4 linked regions of the Saccharomyces cerevisiae S288C genome follow. Changing the gene in region 2 together with the main gene of any one other region gives a genetic interaction. Each region holds a gene or a part of one and is shown on either strand. Other genes may lie near its edges.

Region 1 (5,149 bases), on a different chromosome or scaffold from region 2:
TCCCTAGTTGTACTTTAAATCAATTTAGTGATGAGATGAAAAAAAAAAAAAAAAAAAAAAGAATTCCAACGAAAAAGAAACGACGGGCAGGGCAACCTTTAGAGATTTCAATCCGTATAAAGAGATGTAGTAGGCAGTACGGGTAACATCGTCACAATTCATAATGGAACTATCTAGCTTTTGCTTGATTGCAAAGTTCTACACCCGTTGATACTTCAAACATCTTTGCAATACGTAGGTAGGGGTCGCGTACTAGCAGCCTCCTAGTTAAGTGTATCTTTCAATCGCATTACGGAACAACTAGGCATCCCGAACCCCACACGGAAAAATCGGAACAATAACTGAAAATTTCCTTTTTCTTTTTTTTGCTCTTCAAAGTCTCTGCCCCTCTATTGCGTACTCGATTGATTTTTTTATCAAAGGCCATCTCAGACAAGTAGATCTACATTGGAGTTTCTCATAATATTATCACTATCGGAAGGTAGCATAACCTTTAATAGAGTTTCCGCTGTTTGCTTGGCTCGTTTTTTTGTTTGTACTATGCCTATTGGCGCAAAGAAGACAGAGTGTGCAAACAAGAGATGAATCAGAGCGATAGCAGCTTGATGGATTTACCACTGGAGATACATTTATCATTACTAGAGTACGTGCCTAATGAACTTCGTGCTGTCAATAAATACTTCTACGTTTTGCATAACCACAGCTATAAGGAGAAGAGTTTGGCGTGGATAGCTGAGGACAACTATATATGGGCCGTTGTCAAACATTCATTATGTTTATATGTCAAGAGTTTGGACCCACTTCGACAGCATGCCAGAGAAATCATTCAAGAAACGAAGGAACCAGGTTTTAATGTGCCACTGTGCATGACTAAATACATCGCAGATTCTTGGTATATTGTATACAATGCGCTGCAATATCCTGGAAAGATAATTAATATGGGATGGGACAAATATACCAAAAGTCAAGATTCAAATGGTTCTGATTCTACCAGTAACTTTAATAGTCGGCCCAAGGAAAGAACTCTTATGCAGTCGTTGACAGCTTTACCTGTTAACTTTTGGTCCAGGAGGAAGGACGAGCCTACACCGGTAAACGTTTGGTTTTATGTAAAAAATGCGCACGTTGCCAGATACATACCGAAAATTATTACGGAAATAGGCATATGCAACTATGGGCCGAAGCAGATCGTGGCAAGTGCAGGATATATCAACGAATTGATAACATCTGAAGGAATATACTGTGTTAACCTAGGCCACCTTCCCAGGCTATACGATGAGCAAATTTTTGAAGGCACTGGAACGACACATCTTCCCCTGGAACTGAAAGCTATCGACAGGACAGATTCAGATGTTTGTATCAATGGTGATTTAGTTCTACTCGGTTATGACTTTATTCCATATCAGATATCGAAGCCGTGGTTACTCTTTAGAATCGAACCCGTAAATAGCATTGAAGCAATCTTCAACTATAGTGAATGTTCTTTTTCATACCAGTTTGCATGGAGTTTGGCCTGCTTACAATCTGAAGAGAAAATTTCATTTCCTAGAGACACGATAATTGGGCACGGTTTACCTTACAAGCCATCCAAATTGATAAGAATTTTCGTCTACAAGCATCCGGAACAAAAGCAAGATCTTGGTCAAGAAATAGCATTGCCCAACTGGAATACCCCTTATCTTCGAAGATGAAAAAAAAATTTATCAATTAGTCTATAATATATGTGTATATACGTCTATGCACCTACCTACTTATAAATGGATATAATATTCTTGCAATGATGAAAATATGTATAGTCAAATTTCATTTTTTTCAATTGATAAATGTACTTTCAATGATGGAAACTCCTTCATCGTCATCGAATTTAGACTTCTGGCAGAATTGGTAAATGAATGGCTTCATGTTTGCCAGATTTTCAGCAATAGACCTAATGAAAGCGGGCAGCTCACTCATTATATCGTACCTATTGACTAATCTTAAATTAGATTCTTCAAAACCACGCGGAAATGAAATGGATGTAGGATATTTCCAACCATTTTGCTTATCCTCTTTTGTAGATGGAAATTTAACAGCATGATCATTTACACTTGACCCGACCTCCAAAATTTTGTCCTTATCACTAACCGCCCATATAGTCACTGTAGTGCTGCCATATTCTTTTGTTGTGGTGAATTCAATACACATCATCGAACGCTTCTCACCATTGAAACAAAGAAAATTCCATTTACTAGCCGCCTTATTGGGTATTAGCCCCTGGACAGCATCCAGATACAACATAGGCGTGTCCTTCAAGTCCAGCTTCACAGGTTTATCGTTTTTCTTGTATGAGATGGTACCATTGCAAAAACCTCTAGGAACAAAAACATGTCTTATCATTTTTCTGGACGTACTAGAAGAGTCTCTTTTTGCTAACTCTTCCAAGCTGATGCTCTTGTCAAGGTAATAATTGGAACCGTCCGGGTTTATTATGAATCCTTCTTGTAAATTTACGGTAATGTCAACCTTCAAATCTTTTAGTAAACAGCTTGTACTTCCCTTCGGAATATCTATCTTAATTAATAATTGAGCAAATCCACTGGAGGAAGAATTTTCCAAAGGTACGAAGTGAAACGTAACATTGTCCGATTCAACTTTTAACGTATCAAAATCTTTGATATTATCAATTTTAAAGCTTTCCCATATATCAATGTCTTCTTCAGAGTTTTCCTCACTGCTGGCTTTAAATATTTTGAAATTTAACTGAAAACCTTTGTATATACCGCCCATAACACTGGAATATAATAGTTGAATTAATCCACATTTGCCGTTGGTGAGATCCGTAAAATACAGAGTTTGTGTCTCTATTCTTGTTTCCGTTGGATTTCTTACTGCTTTTAATAAACTATGTGACTTGAACTTTTTGTGATTTGACGTCCTGCAAAACCATTCTAGTTTCGATGTATCCTGAAATTTAGTATAATTAGCATGATCCTTCTCGGATAAAACTTCCTTAACGGGGGCAAATTTCGTCTTCTCCTTTTTGATCGCAACCGCCATTTTTTCTTTGCTCTATGATTTTTATGTTAATTAAACTGTTCGTTGCCCTAAAATTTTGAAAATTTCTCGAATATTTAGAGAGAATCCGTCACTATTTTAGTATCTATCTTGTCTATTTATATATAAAATCTCATTCCCCTGTTATGGTTTTTGCCAAGCCCTATCCCAAAAAACCAAATGATACATGATAAACCTATTTATCCTCTTTAACAGACCTATCGTTTAAAGCTTTTTTATTGCAAACCCTATTCATTATGGCTTTTTGACCTAGGTCTCATTGTGACTTCTATTTTTCACTGTTCAGTAAAAAAAGAAAAGTGATTAAAAAGTATCACTATTTCTGTTAGAAAGCAAGTAGCTATTTTGATTGGTAATTATATACACATATTGAAGGAGGCCGTAGTATTTTCGTTTAAAATATATTACAGTAAGATAATGTCTGCTACATCTTCAAGTGGTGACGTGAAAAAATTTCAAGCTGTACCAAAACCAACGAGCAATGCATCACCACCACCAGCATCGAGTGGGTTTAACGCAAGGACCCTATGGCCGGATTTGATAGAAACACCAGAAAACCAGTGGGTTTTTGAGTGCAAAGATATTATTGAAAAGATAGGCACTAATGGACCGATAGCAGTGGAAATAAAAAAAAATATGGAAAAATGCTTAATGTACTTTTACACACTTAAAAAAAAATTAAATCTTTTTGATCACACCTATACGGCATCATGCATTCTATTTTACAGGTATTGGTTCATATATGGAATACCTACAGCCATAACTGAATGTATTCATATATCACAGGGAATTCTGGTCACCGCTTGCAAAACAATGGAGAATAATAGGCCTATAGAGGCCTATATTAAGGCGACTTGTGAGTTTTTGATGCAAAATATACCGTCTTTAAAAAGTCGAACAAATATTGATAAACTTAAATGGGAATTTAGAGATAAGTTAGTGACGAATGAAAAAAAAATACTATGTTTATTTGGCTTTGACTTAAATATCAGTAATCCAAAAGAATTGATTGAAGAAGTGTTCAGTGGCTATTATAGATTCAACAGGGATCACAATCTGCCAGAAAACTTTAAAAAAGCTTTTCCAAAAATTCTTCAAGAATCAAGAAATTTTATGGTCCAAGCTGTCACCCAGCCAGTTTCTTTATTGTGCGACGGTTATACGTTCATTGTACTATCTCTCATATACTGTGGTTTAGAGTATAAAAAGCTTGTAGACAAAGATTTCAGATATCCGAAAAACTTCTTCAAGGATAGATTCCCTATCGAAGTAACGCCGGAAAATTTTGCCAATATCTTTACCGATTACAAGTTACTGGAAGAGAATTTTTTCAACTTAAAAAGTAATAAAGGTGCTAAATTACAAATTGATTCAAGCATGATTGATTCGGTGATTGACGAAAGTGGCGATGTGGAAAATGAAGTTTCAGAAATCTCTGATCCGTTTAACTACGAGTTGATTAAATCCGGTGAGGTGAAGGAAGAGTTTTTGAATCATATTGAAACAAGGGTTAAAGATTTACTAGATAAGGCTAAACAAGAAAGTATGAAGAGAAAGGCTAAAGATCCTATAAGAACCCCAGATGCCAAAAAACCTAAAATATAAAAATAGAGTACAAGTTATGTTTAATTGGAGGGATCAGTAAAGGTTTGATATATACGTGACAAAATGTCCGGCAAGTTCCCTATGTTATCCTGATAGCAATATTTCCAATACTCAATCCAATGATCATCTGTTTCTGGATCTTTAGGTGAGTCAAAGCGCAGTTTCTGCTTCAATTTTGTTTTCATCTTGTCTATTATTATTCTGGGATGTCTGAATTGGTAAGTTCGGGGATGATAATCGTCCAGAGATTCTGAACAGTCATTATCTTCGGATATTTTTTCAGCAACAAGTAATTTCCCCTCCATAGCAGTCAACAGTACCTTAGGTAGTTGGTAGTCAGTTACTTCATCAGGATTGTCACAAGCATCAATAATATTTTCGATGATACATAAGCATTCTATGGTCAATTTATCCATTTCAGATGATGCTTCGAATGTGTATTCATTATCTTGCATATAGTATAGTTTTAATACATAAAAAAACTGGATAA
Region 2 (5,286 bases):
GACTATGTCTCGAACTACACTAATGAATACCTGTCCTGGCCAGAACCAGAAGAGGTTTCTGATCCTTTGGAAGCCCAAAGATTGATGGCTATTCATCAAGAAAAATGCAGACAGGAAGGTACTTTCAAGAGATTGGCTCTTCCAGCTTAAACGCACTTCGTCACTCCTCGAGCGTAGCCTTCCTCTACGACTTGTTTATGATTTCCCATTAGGTTTTTTTTCCTCCCTGATATTTAGATATTTACTATTAAGATATTATTTATGAGCCTTTTATTACAGCTTCTTTTCCCTTGTAATTATCGTACTTGCCTCCAAGTATCGAAAGTCTTGTGTTGCCTCGATTTACCACTTCAAATGCTGTAACCTGCACAATTTACGCCTGAATTAGGTGAGGGATAAAGACTGTTTTTAGGTGCGGCTTATTCAAAAGTATAAAAGTAGATAGCGTGGAATATATAAGGACATATTTCTTACACAAACGCACCAAAAAAGAAATCTGATTAATCGAAGGAAATCTGCGCAGACATTGCCGTGAGAAGTGAAGCCTTCTTGGTAACAGCCGGATCATCACCGATAAAATTAGTAGGAAAACCAACATCAAAAGGAATAATACTTTCTAAGTATTCTATCTGTTCTGGTGTCAGTTTGATACTTAAAGCCTCAATGTTCTGTTTGAGGTGTTCAATTTTCCTTCCACCAACCAATGGGAAAACATTTTTCGCCTTAGAGCGAACATAGGCAATAGCAATAGCAGTAACAGACTCAGTGCCATGTTCCTCAGCAACCTTGGCCAATGCTTCACTGATCTTAACCTCTTTATCCGTCTGTTTAGAAGTACCCGAAACAGTACGCAGACCCTCTCCATTCTTCTTCCGTTCCTCCATTGCTTTTTTACTCTGAAATCTTCCACCTCCCATAACATCCCATGGGGCTAGAGCCATACCAAAATGTCTGGCCATTGGAATGATATCGCGCTCAAAGTCCCTGTTCAACACATTCCATTTACCTTGATAGATACTAAAAGGAGTTTTCCCATGAGATGTGGCGTAGTAGTTTGCCGCAGAAACAACCCAAGCAGGTGTATCAGACACACCCAAATAGAGGACTTTGCCCTGCTGAACTAAAATATGCAAACTATCCATAACTTCTTCGATTGAACTCATATAATCCCACCAGTGAACGTAAAGTATATCAATCCAATCAGTTTGCAATTTGCGGAGAGAATCCCTCACACTCACATGTAAACTATGCTTGTGATTACCACAATAGTTGGCACTTTTACCGCCACCTACTTCATACTTCTTATAATCTCCGGTAAACTTGGTGGCAATTACAATTTGGTCACGCAACTTTCTTGATTTCATCCATTCACCTATCCAAATCTCTGACTCTTCATTTTGGTAACTGTTTGCAGTATCAATGCAATTACCTCCTGCTTCATAAAAAGCATCAAGAAGTTCAAAAGCCTGTTCCTTATTCATAGAGCCCATAAAGCCTGACCATGCATCGCCGATTGAAGCTCCTCCCAGAATTAGCGGTGAAACTCTTATGCCGGCAGTTTTAGAAAGAACCCTGAGACGTCCCAACTCGGTAGGTGGTTCAGGTAGAGGTTTAAATAATTCACTAATATTATTGAATAATATTTTGTAGCTATAGGAAGTGTATTCTAGTGAAATACAAAGCCGCTCAGTCAATTCGTCAGCTGGCCGATGAAAGGAAGAACTGCAACTGTCCTTGATCTGGAAATATTGTCATGACTTTTATATGGTTCAAAAATCTGCCCCCAATTTGTTCGAGGATATTTAGTGCAACTTAGTTGGGTCTTGGAACGAGGTCTGCTTACTAATTTTATGTTGACGGTTGAAAGCGGATTTTAAAACGTATGAATTTAGAAGAGAGCCAATCAAATAGGGGTACGCTTAATATTAAAAAAATATTAGTAATTGTTTGTATGACGAATAAAATTTGTAAGCACCTGATCCAATCCTTATTATTGAGCAAGAGACGTCTTGTTTCTGTACTCTTTGATAACTATCAAGGCGACATGAAACTAAGGTCATCTCCATCTGCCATTCCTCTAGTTCCGTCAACGAAAATTCTTCAAGCTATGGAGGCCCGGAACGACATTGTTGACAGTCTGATCATCAATAGTCACGCAACGGAAAGTGATCGCCGGACTTTAGGAGACCATGAGGTTAGACAATGTGAGGATACCAACTTCGGCTTCAAAATTTGATACAGGTTAATTTTGAAGGCAACATTTAGGTTCGGCCTTATTTAAAAAAACCTTCAGGTACGCGTTCAAGATCCCATTTTAAAGGTATAGGCAGATTGCACTATTTTACCGGCAAATGTGCGAATATCGAAACTGGAAGATGTTTTCAAGAAAATTGATTTAAGATCCATTTGTCGTGTTTAGAGTTCTCATTGTTCTGGTCAATGATTTCAAACTCAAAAGGCACAAGAAACTTACAAAATTTGTTTCTTATGAACATTACGCCATGTTCTTTGCGAGCATGTGCTATACAGTCTTGCTAGAAAATGGCCCTATAATTAGAAAGCTCAAAAAATAACCCAATGCTGCATCGATTTTTGGAGAAAGGGGGTCAATCATCATCTATCTTCATAAATAACGAGTTGCAGAAAAATTGGAAACTGGTTGATTTTGAAAAGTTTTCATTTTTCTGGCAACAAATTATAGCTACAAAAAAAGAAGTTATGGCGCATAAGATGCATCAATATATGGTGTGACCAGATTGGACGTAACTAGTACTCATGTTATTATTCATATCCTTCATTTTTCCTTCTTTTCTTCTCCTTCTCGAACAGTAACTTCAGATTGAAAGACGTGAGGATGCTTTAGAATGCACATTAAAATTAATATACTACTGGCCTCTTGTGTTTGTCATTGGCTTCTATTTTCAATAAAACATCCAGACAACCCTGCTGTTAATTTTGGAAAAAAAATTTCGCCGATTCTAATCATGTGACTCCTTTTCCCCAGGCAATACCGGAGAAAGCGTTCTATCTCAAACTATATAATTTGCGCTGCTCGTCTCCAAGCCCATGCTAGTGTTTACTTTCGGTTGTAAAAGGTAACTAGAAGTTTTAACGCAAGCATTGTATTATATTTTCCCACAATTGCTCTTAAGGACCTTTTTTTTTCTTGCGTGATCCTGCACTATTGAAAAGTCTTTATCAAAAATAGATGAAACTTTTTCAGGGTTCAACATTTAGAGGCTTTTCTCATATTCTTTACTCAGTTGCCTGCGAAGACCCTTCTGCCCGCTGCGCATTTTCTTAGAAAATCAAAAAAATTGCCTTTTCATCTTTTACCTTCCGAGTTGAATATGTTGACTATTTGCAAACAGGCGTATGATTGTCGTATATAACAGGGCACTTTCGGCAGTGAATCAATAGGAGGCGTATAAGAAAAGCCAATTAGTACCTATATATATATATATATATATATATATATATATATATTCCTTTATTATAATTCCTATCAGCGATTTTTGCATCACACCCAAGAAAAATCTATAATAGAGACACAAAAAAATGAACGTAACTGAAAATGCTCTATTGTTTAAGTGCGGTAGCAAGGGCTATATTAATCAAACCTATACGCCGACAGAAATTTATAATTGTGGGGTAGCTGAAGGAAAGAAAACTGCTAAAGAAAAGAACCCAACTTATTCAATTTTTTATGATACATTTCTCACTGGGCAGCCTGCTGAAAGTCCTGAAACGTTTACGTGTGGTTCGCATGGCTTCACAAATGCGAGTTATGTGGCAAGCGACTTTTATGCATGTGGTTTTCTGCAAGGGAAAGGTACAGAAACCAATGCGGGAATACATAATACAAGGCCTTCTCATTCTCTCGCCAAATTTACCATACTGTTCATGCTAGTGTTGTATACAATTGTCTAATTCTCAAGGTATGACACTTTGGATTGGTGGTCGCAGTAGCCACCATATAATTTTTTATCGTTTCTACATATAATACGAGACAGTCAGACAGAACTTTGGGTCGCCTGAGAAGAAAGACTATAAAAATGTAACCCGTCAGTAGGACTCATCTTAAAACAGTGGGTAATTTACTAAGGAGGCTGGAAAAACTGCGATAATCGGCTTATAGTACATATATATAGAATAATCATTAATCGAGCCTTTACCGCGAAATTCATGGATTTCTCAAAAACAAAGGTGCAATTACATGTTAAGCACCGAATTTCTATGCGAAACAGGTCCGTCTCATCAGTCATAGCTTTCCAAGTATATAAAACTTGAACGCAAAAGTGCGTCATCGACGCCTTTTTTTGCGCAAGGATTGTTACTATTCATTTAATGAACTCTGATGTCTTAATAAGCCAATGGTATCCATAAGTGAAGGTGAAGTCTACTGTGTTACATTAGCAAGTCAGAACTCCTATACGATACAGTATACTGCATTATGGGCACTAAAATAATTTAGATTATAGAAAATATCGATACTATGCTTCCACTTCTCACGAAGCGGCCATGTTTTAAATGAAGTACGTTAACGCTAACACAAGGCTTGACAACTTTCATGAGCGTCAAATAGTCTACGTGTGGGCTCACTTTTTCAGATTTCTTCTTGGCTTTTGTGAGATGTATAATTAACAATAATCATAAAATCGCTACATAAAACAAAGCATAAAAAATTACAGATTTCCTGTTCAAAAATCAAATCGGTCCAGTTCAGCTATTGTTCTGCCGTTGTTCATGCTCAGAAAATTGGACCATGGTGTCATCTAACTTTAGTTGGTCCCATTAAGCTCTCTTCTGTATATCATGTTTGCCATATTGTCATATCATCTGCTTAGTATTAAACCGTTGTGGAAAACAAGAAAATTGCGAATTACTAGTATAGAAAATGCATTCTAAGTCGCCTGTGATTCCAATAGCAAAGAAATTGATCTTAATGGAAGTAGGAAATAGCTGTGGCAAAGAGACAGGATACTAAGATTGGTTTAAGGCGAGGTCATACTTAGCTATTTCCTTCACCAACATTGGTTTTCGAACAGTCAAGAGATGAAAACGCAAAAAAGTGCACTATAAAGTAAATACTCAAACGTTCCCAAAACAAAACGAGAAGAAGCGATAGGCACCTCAAAACTGAAATTATGGGCAAACAATATAACCCGTAAAAGATCACTTTACGACCAGAACATAATCAACATGGGTGGCCCCCATGTTGTACTCAGTTAGCTTTTTGAGCTAGCAAATATATCAAGAAGCCCGCATGTGCTACTTACGTTTGAA
Region 3 (5,178 bases), on a different chromosome or scaffold from region 2:
AACACAATTTATGAAACCTCAGGTTTGATGCTCCGGAAAGCCTATTTCTCACGTTTTCCGGCACTTAATGCGCATATAAAAACATAGTCTCTACGTTACGAGGATTTATCATAGAACCCAAATCAGCAGTAATAAATTTCCACGGTCAAATTAAACTCTTGTCGTTGATATGGGTGTAGTGTGATGGTGGTGACCACTATTTCGCCTTTATTAGTTATTTATATGAGTTAGCCCTCCGAAGAACTCATCCTTGTTAGCTCAGTTGGTAGAGCGTTCGGCTTTTAAGCGCATTTGCTTAAGCAAGGATACCGAAATGTCAGGGGTTCGAGCCCCCTATGAGGAGTTCTTTACTTTTTTAGATTCGGCGTTCAATGCTAAAGAAAAAAAATGAAAATAAGTTTCAATTAATAGTGAAAGAAAAGGAAGGAAGTTAGAACTGAAATGCGTAGACTACCTCCCCCAAATTTTTTCTTGTTTGGTTGCATTATTTCATGAATTCAACTAAAAGGCTGAAAATGTCAACAACCTTTCATGATTATGACTTGGAAGAGCCATTAACCTCAAATGCCAGACCACTAAAGAACTCCGTTATTACAATCCGAGTAATAAAATCTTTCCCATATAGAAACGTCAAGAACATAGTGCTGCACGATTACGATCTTGCTGATAAAACTGCAAAGGACCTGTTCAATGACGTTTTGAACAAAATTCAAAATGAAGGTTCATTCAGACCATTCCGTAATGTTAAGTTTGATACTTTAAAGATATACACGCACGCACATGGTTCCAAGACGGTTAATCTCGTGATCAATTTTGACCACGATGACGACTGGACTTTAGACATAGAGAATGACAAAAAAAAGCTGTTCGAGTATGGCATTGAGAATGAAACCGAAATTTCGCTTTTCAACAAAGAGGATTACCTAAGGTTTAAAGAAAACCCTGAAGAAAAATGGTGAGATGTTGTTTGGCTTATGGCCTTCATTAATAAGTAAGTGCTATGAATATATTACATATATATATATATATATGTTGTGTACGAGAGTATACTCGTATGTAAATTAACATCAAATGTGTATGTGGAAATGCAGAAGAGAGCAAACTCTCCTTTAAAAAACAACCTGGTTCCTATAAAAAATGTCTTCTTCCATAGTGCCAAATGTATAGTTGCTGAACTCATAATGAGCTTCTTTTATTGTTTCATCAGAATGAGAACTATTTTGATGGTGATGGTGATGATGGCGACGATGGTGACGGCGATGGTGGCGGGAATGTTGGATATCGTTTATGTTGATGAGGGATTCGCGGATAGTCCCCTTTGAGTCGATCTCCCTCTTCATCACGGCTTGGTTAAACTTCAACTTCCTGGGGAATTGTTCCTTCTTTTCGTTCATAAGGTCTTCAGAATCTTCATCTATGGAGGAAATTTTAGTGCATGTAGAATGCTGGTCGAAAATGGAAGACGTGTGAGAATCAACAGACGATGGGCATGAAATGTCTTCTAATTTCACCAAAGCGTTGTCATTGCTCTCTATAGAAGCGTTAATCTCATCCACCTCCTCGGTTACCCAGCATTCCGTATTTTTCTTTAAAGCAGATTTTAGATTTTTTGTTTGTTTCTGGTCAATTTGGTTCTGGACCGGCGATATTTCGTTTTCATTACTATCTATGTTAGTCAAATCTGGACCGTACAACACCGTTACATCGGTTTCTTTGTTCCAGTTGATGGACAGTGGATTGGATTTGGAGTTCTGTAAACCATAGTGATTTATGGACCAACGCCTCCAGAGGCAATGATGTAGCCTAACGAGGTACATGTTGTAATCTAGCACGTCCTCTGAAGAGCAACTTGGTAATCGAAGTAGTTTATGTTTGCGCATCTTCAATAGTAGTGTCCATGAAGCCGATATTTCCAAGCTTGCATCATTAAATTCATGATGGAAATAGTCAATCGCAGGCTTGTTGTAGTTGGTCATGTTATCCAGTAACATTATATTCTGGTACGAAATTATTGTATCGTCCAAACTAGTCATTTTCTGTATATGTATCTATTTGTGTGTGTATGAACACTTGTGTGTAGTATCTGAATGCGATAAGAGAAAGGGCCAAAGTTGAACTGAATGCAAAAAGTAAAACCTATAAAACCGTGTTGACCATACGCTTTCATATATATATATATATATGTTTGTTTTTGCTAAGACCCGGTAACTGTACTTTTTCTGCAGTCATCCAAGGGAAGACAAAAGAAGAAAGAAAAAACAAGATTAATGTCCCCAGGTTTTTTCTTTTCCTGGCGGAAAAAGCTCAAATCTAACATTTCCCCGCGGGGGTTTCTTTGTAAAGAGTATCGAGTCGGAAACGAAAAAAAAAAAAAGATGAGAAAATGAATTTTTCCGGTCGCCTAAAGATAGAGGTACCAGCGGAAAAAATGCAGCAAAAGCAAAATACCCCATTCAAGTTCCCCCTGTCTCGCCCCTCTCACGCTTCACTGTCCCCCGCTTTCGGTTTTTCCGGCTACGGCATTTCTGTTGAAAGTTGCCGGAAAAACCCCAAAAAGCATAAAAAAAAAGAGCGGGGGGAAGAAAAAAAGATTCCTTTCTATCTTTTCCTTCCCCGGCCTATTCGGGTACTCGCTTCCGGGTCCGCTGTCGTTTATAATGATTAGTGCAGAGAGCTTTCTTCTCTTAGTTTTTCATGTGGTAAAGGCAATGCCATTTAGAAGGATACTACGTGGGGTTCAAAACCGTGAATACGTTGTCTATCGTGTTATGTATGTTCTGAGTTTCTTTTTGTCATTCTACTAGTTTATGGACTGGGACTATGTATCTTGCAGTATGATTTCGTCAGGAAGCTTGTCATAGCAAGGCCTGAACAAATCGTACGTTAAAATAAAAATGAGCACCAATTCGAGTCACTGATGCCTACTGCTCAATCCAACCATCTAGTTCTGCAAAGATACTTACTCCGCATAATTAAAAAAATAAGGTATTTTAAAGTTGTGTAGTGACGAATGTAGTGACGCGGAAACGTTTTACTCGTCAATGGACATTTGCGAATGTGTCCGATAAATAGTTGAGGCTTTTCCTGCATTCTGTCAAGAAGGGTATGTGTATGAACATGCAAATGACACTGTAAAATGATTCATTACCCTGATTATGGAGTGATTTTCTTTCCTTTTTTTTTTTACATTTAGTTTCATTATTATGCAAATTAGAGGGTATACAGTTGAGATTTTAACACTTTGAATTAAAAAGTGTTACAGAGGAAACCGACGCAAAAGGCTTGGTGACGCAAACTTTTCCATCTTTATTTCACCTCTTCAGACGGTCCTAAGACCTTTTGAACGTATCAATATAGTTTTATCATCTGTTCTCTGTTGTTCTCCGTTACTAAGATATTAGTCAGCTCTTGAAATTTCACACCCCTATTTATTTGTCTTAGCGTCCAACCCCTCTCAACCCTTTTCCATTTCTTGTATAAAGGTAGTTAATTAGGTAACGCTGCTCTTACCATCACTACAGTGCTTACGAGAATTTACCCAAACCCTGCGCAAGATAAATAAGAAATGTCGAAACAGTGGGCGAGTGGTACAAACGGAGCTTTCAAAAGACAGGTTTCGTCCTTCAGAGAAACAATCTCTAAGCAACACCCAATTTATAAGCCAGCAAAGGGAAGATATTGGTTGTATGTTTCACTTGCATGCCCATGGGCCCATAGAACACTAATTACGAGGGCTTTGAAGGGATTAACCTCTGTTATAGGATGTAGCGTAGTCCATTGGCACCTTGACGAGAAAGGATGGAGATTTTTGGACATGGAAAAGCAATTGGAGGACAGTGAAGATTTTTTGGAACATTGGCACGATGTTGCAGGTGGTATTAGAACTGCTAAAGAGGATTCCAGCAAGAGCTTCGCCGAGATCAAGAATGACAGTCAAAGATTCATGGTTGATGCTACCAATGAGCCTCACTATGGATACAAGAGAATCAGTGACTTATATTACAAGAGCGATCCTCAATACTCGGCAAGGTTCACCGTCCCAGTCCTGTGGGACTTAGAAACCCAAACAATTGTTAACAACGAAAGTAGCGAAATTATAAGGATTTTGAACTCTAGTGCGTTCGATGAATTTGTCGACGACGATCACAAGAAAACGGACCTTGTTCCTGCTCAGTTGAAAACACAGATCGATGACTTCAATTCTTGGGTTTACGACAGCATCAACAATGGTGTATACAAGACCGGATTCGCAGAGAAAGCAGAAGTTTACGAAAGTGAAGTCAACAACGTATTTGAACATTTGGACAAAGTGGAGAAAATCCTGAGTGACAAATATTCCAAATTGAAGGCCAAATACGGTGAAGAAGATAGACAAAAAATCTTGGGTGAGTTCTTCACTGTGGGTGATCAATTAACAGAAGCTGACATTAGATTGTATACTACCGTCATAAGATTCGATCCTGTGTACGTCCAACATTTCAAATGCAATTTTACCTCTATTAGAGCCGGATATCCATTTATTCATTTGTGGGTAAGAAATTTATACTGGAATTATGATGCCTTCAGGTACACAACAGATTTTGACCATATCAAGTTACACTACACGCGTTCCCACACAAGGATCAACCCCTTGGGAATTACGCCCCTGGGACCCAAGCCAGATATTCGTCCTTTATAACAAGCTGTAATTAAATAATCAAATGTCTATAATCTCCCTGAGTTGCCTCTTTTTCTATACTCAATTGGGTAATTGACGCGAAACGCGTTAAAGTGCAAAAAAAGGCCTGGAAATTATATTTAACGCAATGAAATATTTTCATAATATGACATTCATGCACAGCTGTATTCATTCTTCTACTTTGTAGTTTGTTATTCTTCTTTATCGGTTTCGTTTTACAAAAGATTTTAGCAAGGAAGCAGTTTTTAAACCAATCAATGGTATACACAACACCGCAACAACAGCAGAGATTCAGCTCCACACCGCAATCTAGCCACACTCTTATCTTCTCGCCAATCAGAGCCCCTTCAATGCAAACGCCCTCCTCATTGGATTACCAATCACCTTCAATTGTTGTGTCATCGTCTTCAATGAAGGTTCACGGCCGGTCTTCCAGTTTCGGTAAATTTTCACTGTCTATTGGGCAAAATGGTAAGGCTACAATACTGGGGCCTATAAAC
Region 4 (5,001 bases), on a different chromosome or scaffold from region 2:
TCTTCAAAGCCAGTCTTCTGTCAATGGAAGAATCCAGAATGCCTAAAACTAGTTATTTAAACAAAAATTTTGAATCTGCTCACTATAATAACGTACGTCCCTCTTACCCTTTATCTTTAGTCAATGAGATAATGAAATTTCACAAAGGCACACGCAAAAGTTTGGTTGATATTGGATGTGGCACAGGAAAAGCAACTTTTGTCGTTGAACCCTATTTTAAGGAAGTGATTGGGATTGATCCTTCTTCTGCTATGCTTTCGATTGCTGAGAAAGAAACAAATGAACGTAGATTAGATAAAAAGATTAGATTTATTAATGCGCCTGGTGAAGATTTATCCAGCATTCGACCAGAAAGTGTAGATATGGTTATTTCAGCAGAAGCCATCCATTGGTGCAATTTAGAAAGGCTGTTTCAGCAGGTTTCCTCTATATTACGAAGTGATGGAACTTTTGCATTCTGGTTTTATATTCAGCCGGAATTTGTGGACTTTCCCGAAGCCTTGAATGTATATTACAAATATGGATGGAGCAAGGATTATATGGGTAAATATCTGAACGACAACCAACGGGAAATTTTGTTGAATTACGGTGGTGAAAAGCTACGTTCTTTATTGTCAGATCGATTTGGAGATATTGAAGTCACAATTTACAGTCCTTCGGACCCAAATGCATCAACAGTAACGGCTGAAAACAGTCAGTTTCTCTGGAGAGCAGCTATTACTCTCAATCAATTTAAAGAGTTTGTGAAAAGCTGGAGCATATACACTTCTTGGGCTAGAGATAATCCCTCGAAACCGGATATTGCCGATATATTCATTAACGAGCTCAAAGAAATCTGTCATTGTGAAGATTTGAATGTACCTTTAAAAATAGAGTGGTCAACGTTTTATTACTTATGTAGGAAAAGAGAATGAGGTTTACTAAATTAAAAGAAATATATAAAAAGCTGATTTTTTTCTTTTTTTAAATATTTCCCAAATGCTAATAAATATTAAAATATGGCAAAAAGAAAATAAGGTGTTGTTGCGCAGTTGGGAGTAATTTAAAACCGTCAACATATGCTCTAAAAATTTTATTGGCTCTAAATTCCGACCTCTGAATGTAATTATGTTTTAAAGCGATACGTAAACTTGTTACTGTTAACATTAAAAGATAATGCAATCATGGTAACATAATAAAGTCTCAAAAAATTCTTAATATTAACTATAACATATGCACTTCAGAAAGCTGTTTCCGGATCATATCTCATTATAAAAAGCTCAATTTATAGAAAAATAATGCGACAGTGCAAAGTAAACAACTAAATTTGGTGCCTACACCGCAAAACGATATCGAGTCTTAGAAGTATATACCTCACCACGTCTCAAAAGAACGCAGTCTCTCCATCCATCACGGTTGATTGCGTCAACATATCTGCCTTGTTCAACGGCAAAGCCAGATCTCGGCGTAAATCCATCACACAAGTTGTCACCTGTGTAAAATAGGACAGTTGGTTCTGTTGTTGAAACCTCCAATGAAAGTCGTGATGCCGGATGATAAGCCTTGAAGGCAGGGACGAGCTTGTTTACACTTACTGAGTCTGTCGTTTTCAAATTCTTATTTTCATCAACAATGAAAGCGTAGTCATAAATCGGGCCATCATCCTGCAGAATGGTAGGTTTGGAGGAGTCAAAAGTAGCAATTTTTCTTTGAACGATTTTACCGGTTGGAATTAGTGCTCCTTCGCTTACTTCCAATGATTTATCTGAGCAGAGCCTAACCTCCGTACCGCTAATGGATTTTTTATCCATAGTTTTGTTTAAATTGAAGTACGTGTGATTCGTCATGTTGATGGGAGTAGCCTCACCGCTGACCAGTTTTGCCTCGTATTCCAAGTCCAAGGTCATGTCAGCAACGTTCAATGTGTACTTTAAGTTTACAGCTAGATCTCCCGGAAATTCATTGGGCAGTGTGCGGTCATCCAATAACGTAAATTCAACAATGTAAAGGTCATCAAGAGGATTTTGGACTTTGGATGCCTTATACTTCTTGAGATGGAAGGAGCTGATGCTACTGTGGTTGGTGTTTCCACAATTGTTCACTGTCAACTGATGAGGTCCATCTTCCATACTGAACATGCCCTTGTAAATACGATTTGCATAACGGCCAACAGTAGCACCAATGTAGTTGTAGCCATCTGATATATAGCCATGAATATCAGGGTATCCTAGAACAATCGATTCGTTGTTCACTTTCAAGTCAAGCAAAGTAGCGCCAAGCTCTGAAATTGTTGCTTGAAGCTTTTTTGCATCACCAATAGTGATGACTTCATATTCACCGCCAGCCTTATTATTTGACATTATCACTTTTTGGCTTTTTAGGTGAATTTACTTATTGCAGTAACATAATGTACAATTGAGTTCCAGTACTTCGTAGTACATTCTGATTTTATATCTCAGAGCATCCAAGGTGTTTACGCATGAATAACCAAACCATGGAGGAGTTACTTTTACCTTTTTTTAAGATATTCAGCTAGTAACTAATTGTCGGAAAAACTTAACAGGTACAAGGCCATATTATCACGTAACAAACCTAATTTTTGTACGATATTAGTGCCCGAGAATTTCTCCGTAGCGTAATTTTCTGCGAGAATTTCTGCGCAGTGCAAAGATATGCGACCTGACACTCTTTACGAAACTTTACCCCTCCCCCACCTCCACCTGCATTTATCCCGTCAAAAAGTGTCAATCACCTGGATGCATAAGGAGGAAAAATTATTCCAAGGATGTTGGACAACGCGAATTTTGGAAGTGACTTCTCATAAGCTTCTGATCTCTACTATATTCTTGTAATTTGGTGGGGTAGTGCAGGCTTACTGTGCGATGAGCAAATCCAGCGTATTGCTCACAGCGATAGGCCTTTGAAATGATATTGTTTGAATGCAAAACGCAGAAATGATATTCAACTTCATAATCTCATTAAACAAGATAGCATGCCAATAGAATTCCATTTTTTCCGATTCTTAGGCCATTTACAACCAAGTATCAACTTTCGTATAATTTTATTTCCATAATTATACGCAAATGCTGCAGTAGTTGCACATAGAATGATGATACGACCTAATAAAGGAAAAGGGGAATCTGTTCTGAGCTGAAAACTGATTCAAAACTCAATTTGGACACTCGGTTCGGGTGCTGGCCAGCAATAGTTTAGTGTTATCATGTCATAATCTTCCTCATAGGTTTCAATGTAATATCGATAATTACAAAGTAGTTCCTTTTCATTTAAATTTATATGCAAGAAGATAAGAGTTGATGTAGCAGTGCACCAGTTTTGCTTTACAATTCTTACAGTTTTATGAAAAATAATCTCCAATATGCCATGCTGAACTGGCATTCTTTTTGAGTGCAAAAGGAGGTTTTGGAAAAACAAAGTCTTCTTCTGCGTGTTACTCTGAAAATGTTGAAAAATAAGCTGAATGGGGCATTACATGTTTTCATCCAAACATGCCTTGTCAATAACGAGATTCGCGACGTATTCTTTTAGTATTCTGTTCCTTTTTTTTTTTGCTCCGCGCGCACTTGAACATCTTGCATATTTTTCTTTTCTGTTTTCATCCAGAGGTTGTGTTCTAGGACTTTCTGACGGAGGAATATCATCAAATCATCACAATAAGATCAATTGCATGGGTTCCAGCACTTAGCCAAATGTACAAATCTTGATATTTACCGGAGACCAACCCTTAGTTTGAAGTGTGCGCTACCAGGGAATCTTCTTCGGTCATTATTTTCTATCTTCACGATAATCGATCCTCCTCCTATACGTTAATATCGACTGATATCTAAATACATCGTTGAAGAACGGCGGAAAAATACTTATTTTCAGGTTGTCTTCGTTTTCACTCACGATAGCAATATGGATCCTTTCACAGCTCCTATCACCGCTGTAGTTTTTTATGACGCTTAATTTCCTGTTAATAAGTAAATAAGGTAAGTTGAAGGTCCTTCATACTGTGATCTGCAATAAACCACATGGCTACCGCACTTCTTGTCACTATCCTATGTGGAGAAAACCCAGAAAAAACTTTAAAGCGTGATTGAAATCAATAATTTGGCAAAGAACTAGAACCATACGCAAGAAAACCTTCCAACTTTGGCATTGTACGCAGAAATGAGACACGTTCAAAGCACAGGTCTTGAAATTTAAAAAAGTTTCTCAAAAGTTCTCCCAAACCTTCAATTTCTATTGGTATAACAGTATTCTAGGAAGAAAACAGGCGAAGAAAGTTTCTTTACTTTCTTCCTTTAATAGACTTTCATGAATATCAAATGCTGTTGTTTTCAACTAAATCAGACAAGCAAAGGCGATTGCTAAAAGTGAACATATGGAAAATATATGGAAAAAATCTAGAGGCAACAAACGTTCGGGTTTCCTTTTAACTCCGAGAAAGAAAAATCATTAGAACTTCGTGTTAATCCTAATAGAGTTCAAATATGCTACTAGTCGTCAGAAACCTCAGTTACATGATTACACATTCTAAGACTTCACAAGTGAAAAATTTCCCGACGTTCATAGCATGTTACGTGATCGCGCAGGATGGGACAATTAAACGATCTTTGCAGTGGAGAAGGAATAACTTCCGGTTGCAGCTACTTGTCAAACAGAACACTGGTATGGATAAGATAATAGTCAGATCTTTTATTACTTATGAAACAATGTCAGTAACACAGCGTGTTTAACAGATAATGTTCTTTTAACAAAATTAAATGAGGTCTTTTATTGTGTGTGTCAAGTTGACAAGCCGCCTTTATTGATAGATCCCCACTAAAAATACCAGGAAATGATGAGCTCGAGTCTTTGTGCCTTTCTCATCATGGACCATTCGCACATGCAGTGCTGCACAACAAAAGATAAATCACCAGTATTAGGTGACTTTCAAAACACTAGAATTTAGGCACTTTCAACCCAGCCCAGCGCGTAGTAAGAATAAAGTAGGGGAAAACCTTACGAAAAGCCTCTTTC

Evidence for each region.
Region 1: mutations in AAD4 (region 2) and YLR225C together harm fitness more than expected from each alone (negative genetic interaction), as found in Saccharomyces cerevisiae (one large-scale study listed by BioGRID).
Region 3: mutations in AAD4 (region 2) and ECM4 together harm fitness more than expected from each alone (negative genetic interaction), as found in Saccharomyces cerevisiae (one large-scale study listed by BioGRID).
Region 4: mutations in AAD4 (region 2) and YHR210C together harm fitness more than expected from each alone (negative genetic interaction), as found in Saccharomyces cerevisiae (one large-scale study listed by BioGRID).

What each region holds. Positions count from the first base shown.
Region 1 is NC_001144.5:585,883-591,031, forward strand, and holds YLR225C (uncharacterized protein), read right to left. Parts: upstream 3,037-5,149; coding exon 1,813-3,036; downstream 1-1,812. Other genes in the region: UCC1 (Ucc1p), read left to right, coding at 582-1,691; BUR2 (Bur2p), read left to right, coding at 3,472-4,659; ADY4 (Ady4p), read right to left, coding at 4,680-5,149.
Region 2 is NC_001136.10:17,077-22,362, forward strand, and holds AAD4 (putative aryl-alcohol dehydrogenase), read right to left. Parts: upstream 1,491-5,286; coding exon 501-1,490; downstream 1-500. Other genes in the region: THI13 (4-amino-5-hydroxymethyl-2-methylpyrimidine phosphate synthase), read left to right, coding at 1-150; YDL242W (uncharacterized protein), read left to right, coding at 1,883-2,236; YDL241W (uncharacterized protein), read left to right, coding at 3,559-3,930.
Region 3 is NC_001143.9:578,718-583,895, forward strand, and holds ECM4 (S-glutathionyl-(chloro)hydroquinone reductase), read left to right. Parts: upstream 1-3,565; coding exon 3,566-4,678; downstream 4,679-5,178. Other genes in the region: AIM29 (Aim29p), read left to right, coding at 492-959; YKR075C (uncharacterized protein), read right to left, coding at 1,110-2,033; MSA2 (Msa2p), read left to right, coding at 4,936-5,178. UniProt on the Saccharomyces cerevisiae protein: Active as '1-Cys' thiol transferase against beta-hydroxyethyl disulfide (HED), as dehydroascorbate reductase and as dimethylarsinic acid reductase, while not active against the standard GST substrate 1-chloro-2,4-dinitrobenzene (CDNB).
Region 4 is NC_001140.6:519,399-524,399, forward strand, and holds YHR210C (aldose 1-epimerase superfamily protein), read right to left. Parts: upstream 2,340-5,001; coding exon 1,314-2,339; downstream 1-1,313. Other genes in the region: CRG1 (S-adenosylmethionine-dependent methyltransferase), read left to right, coding at 39-914.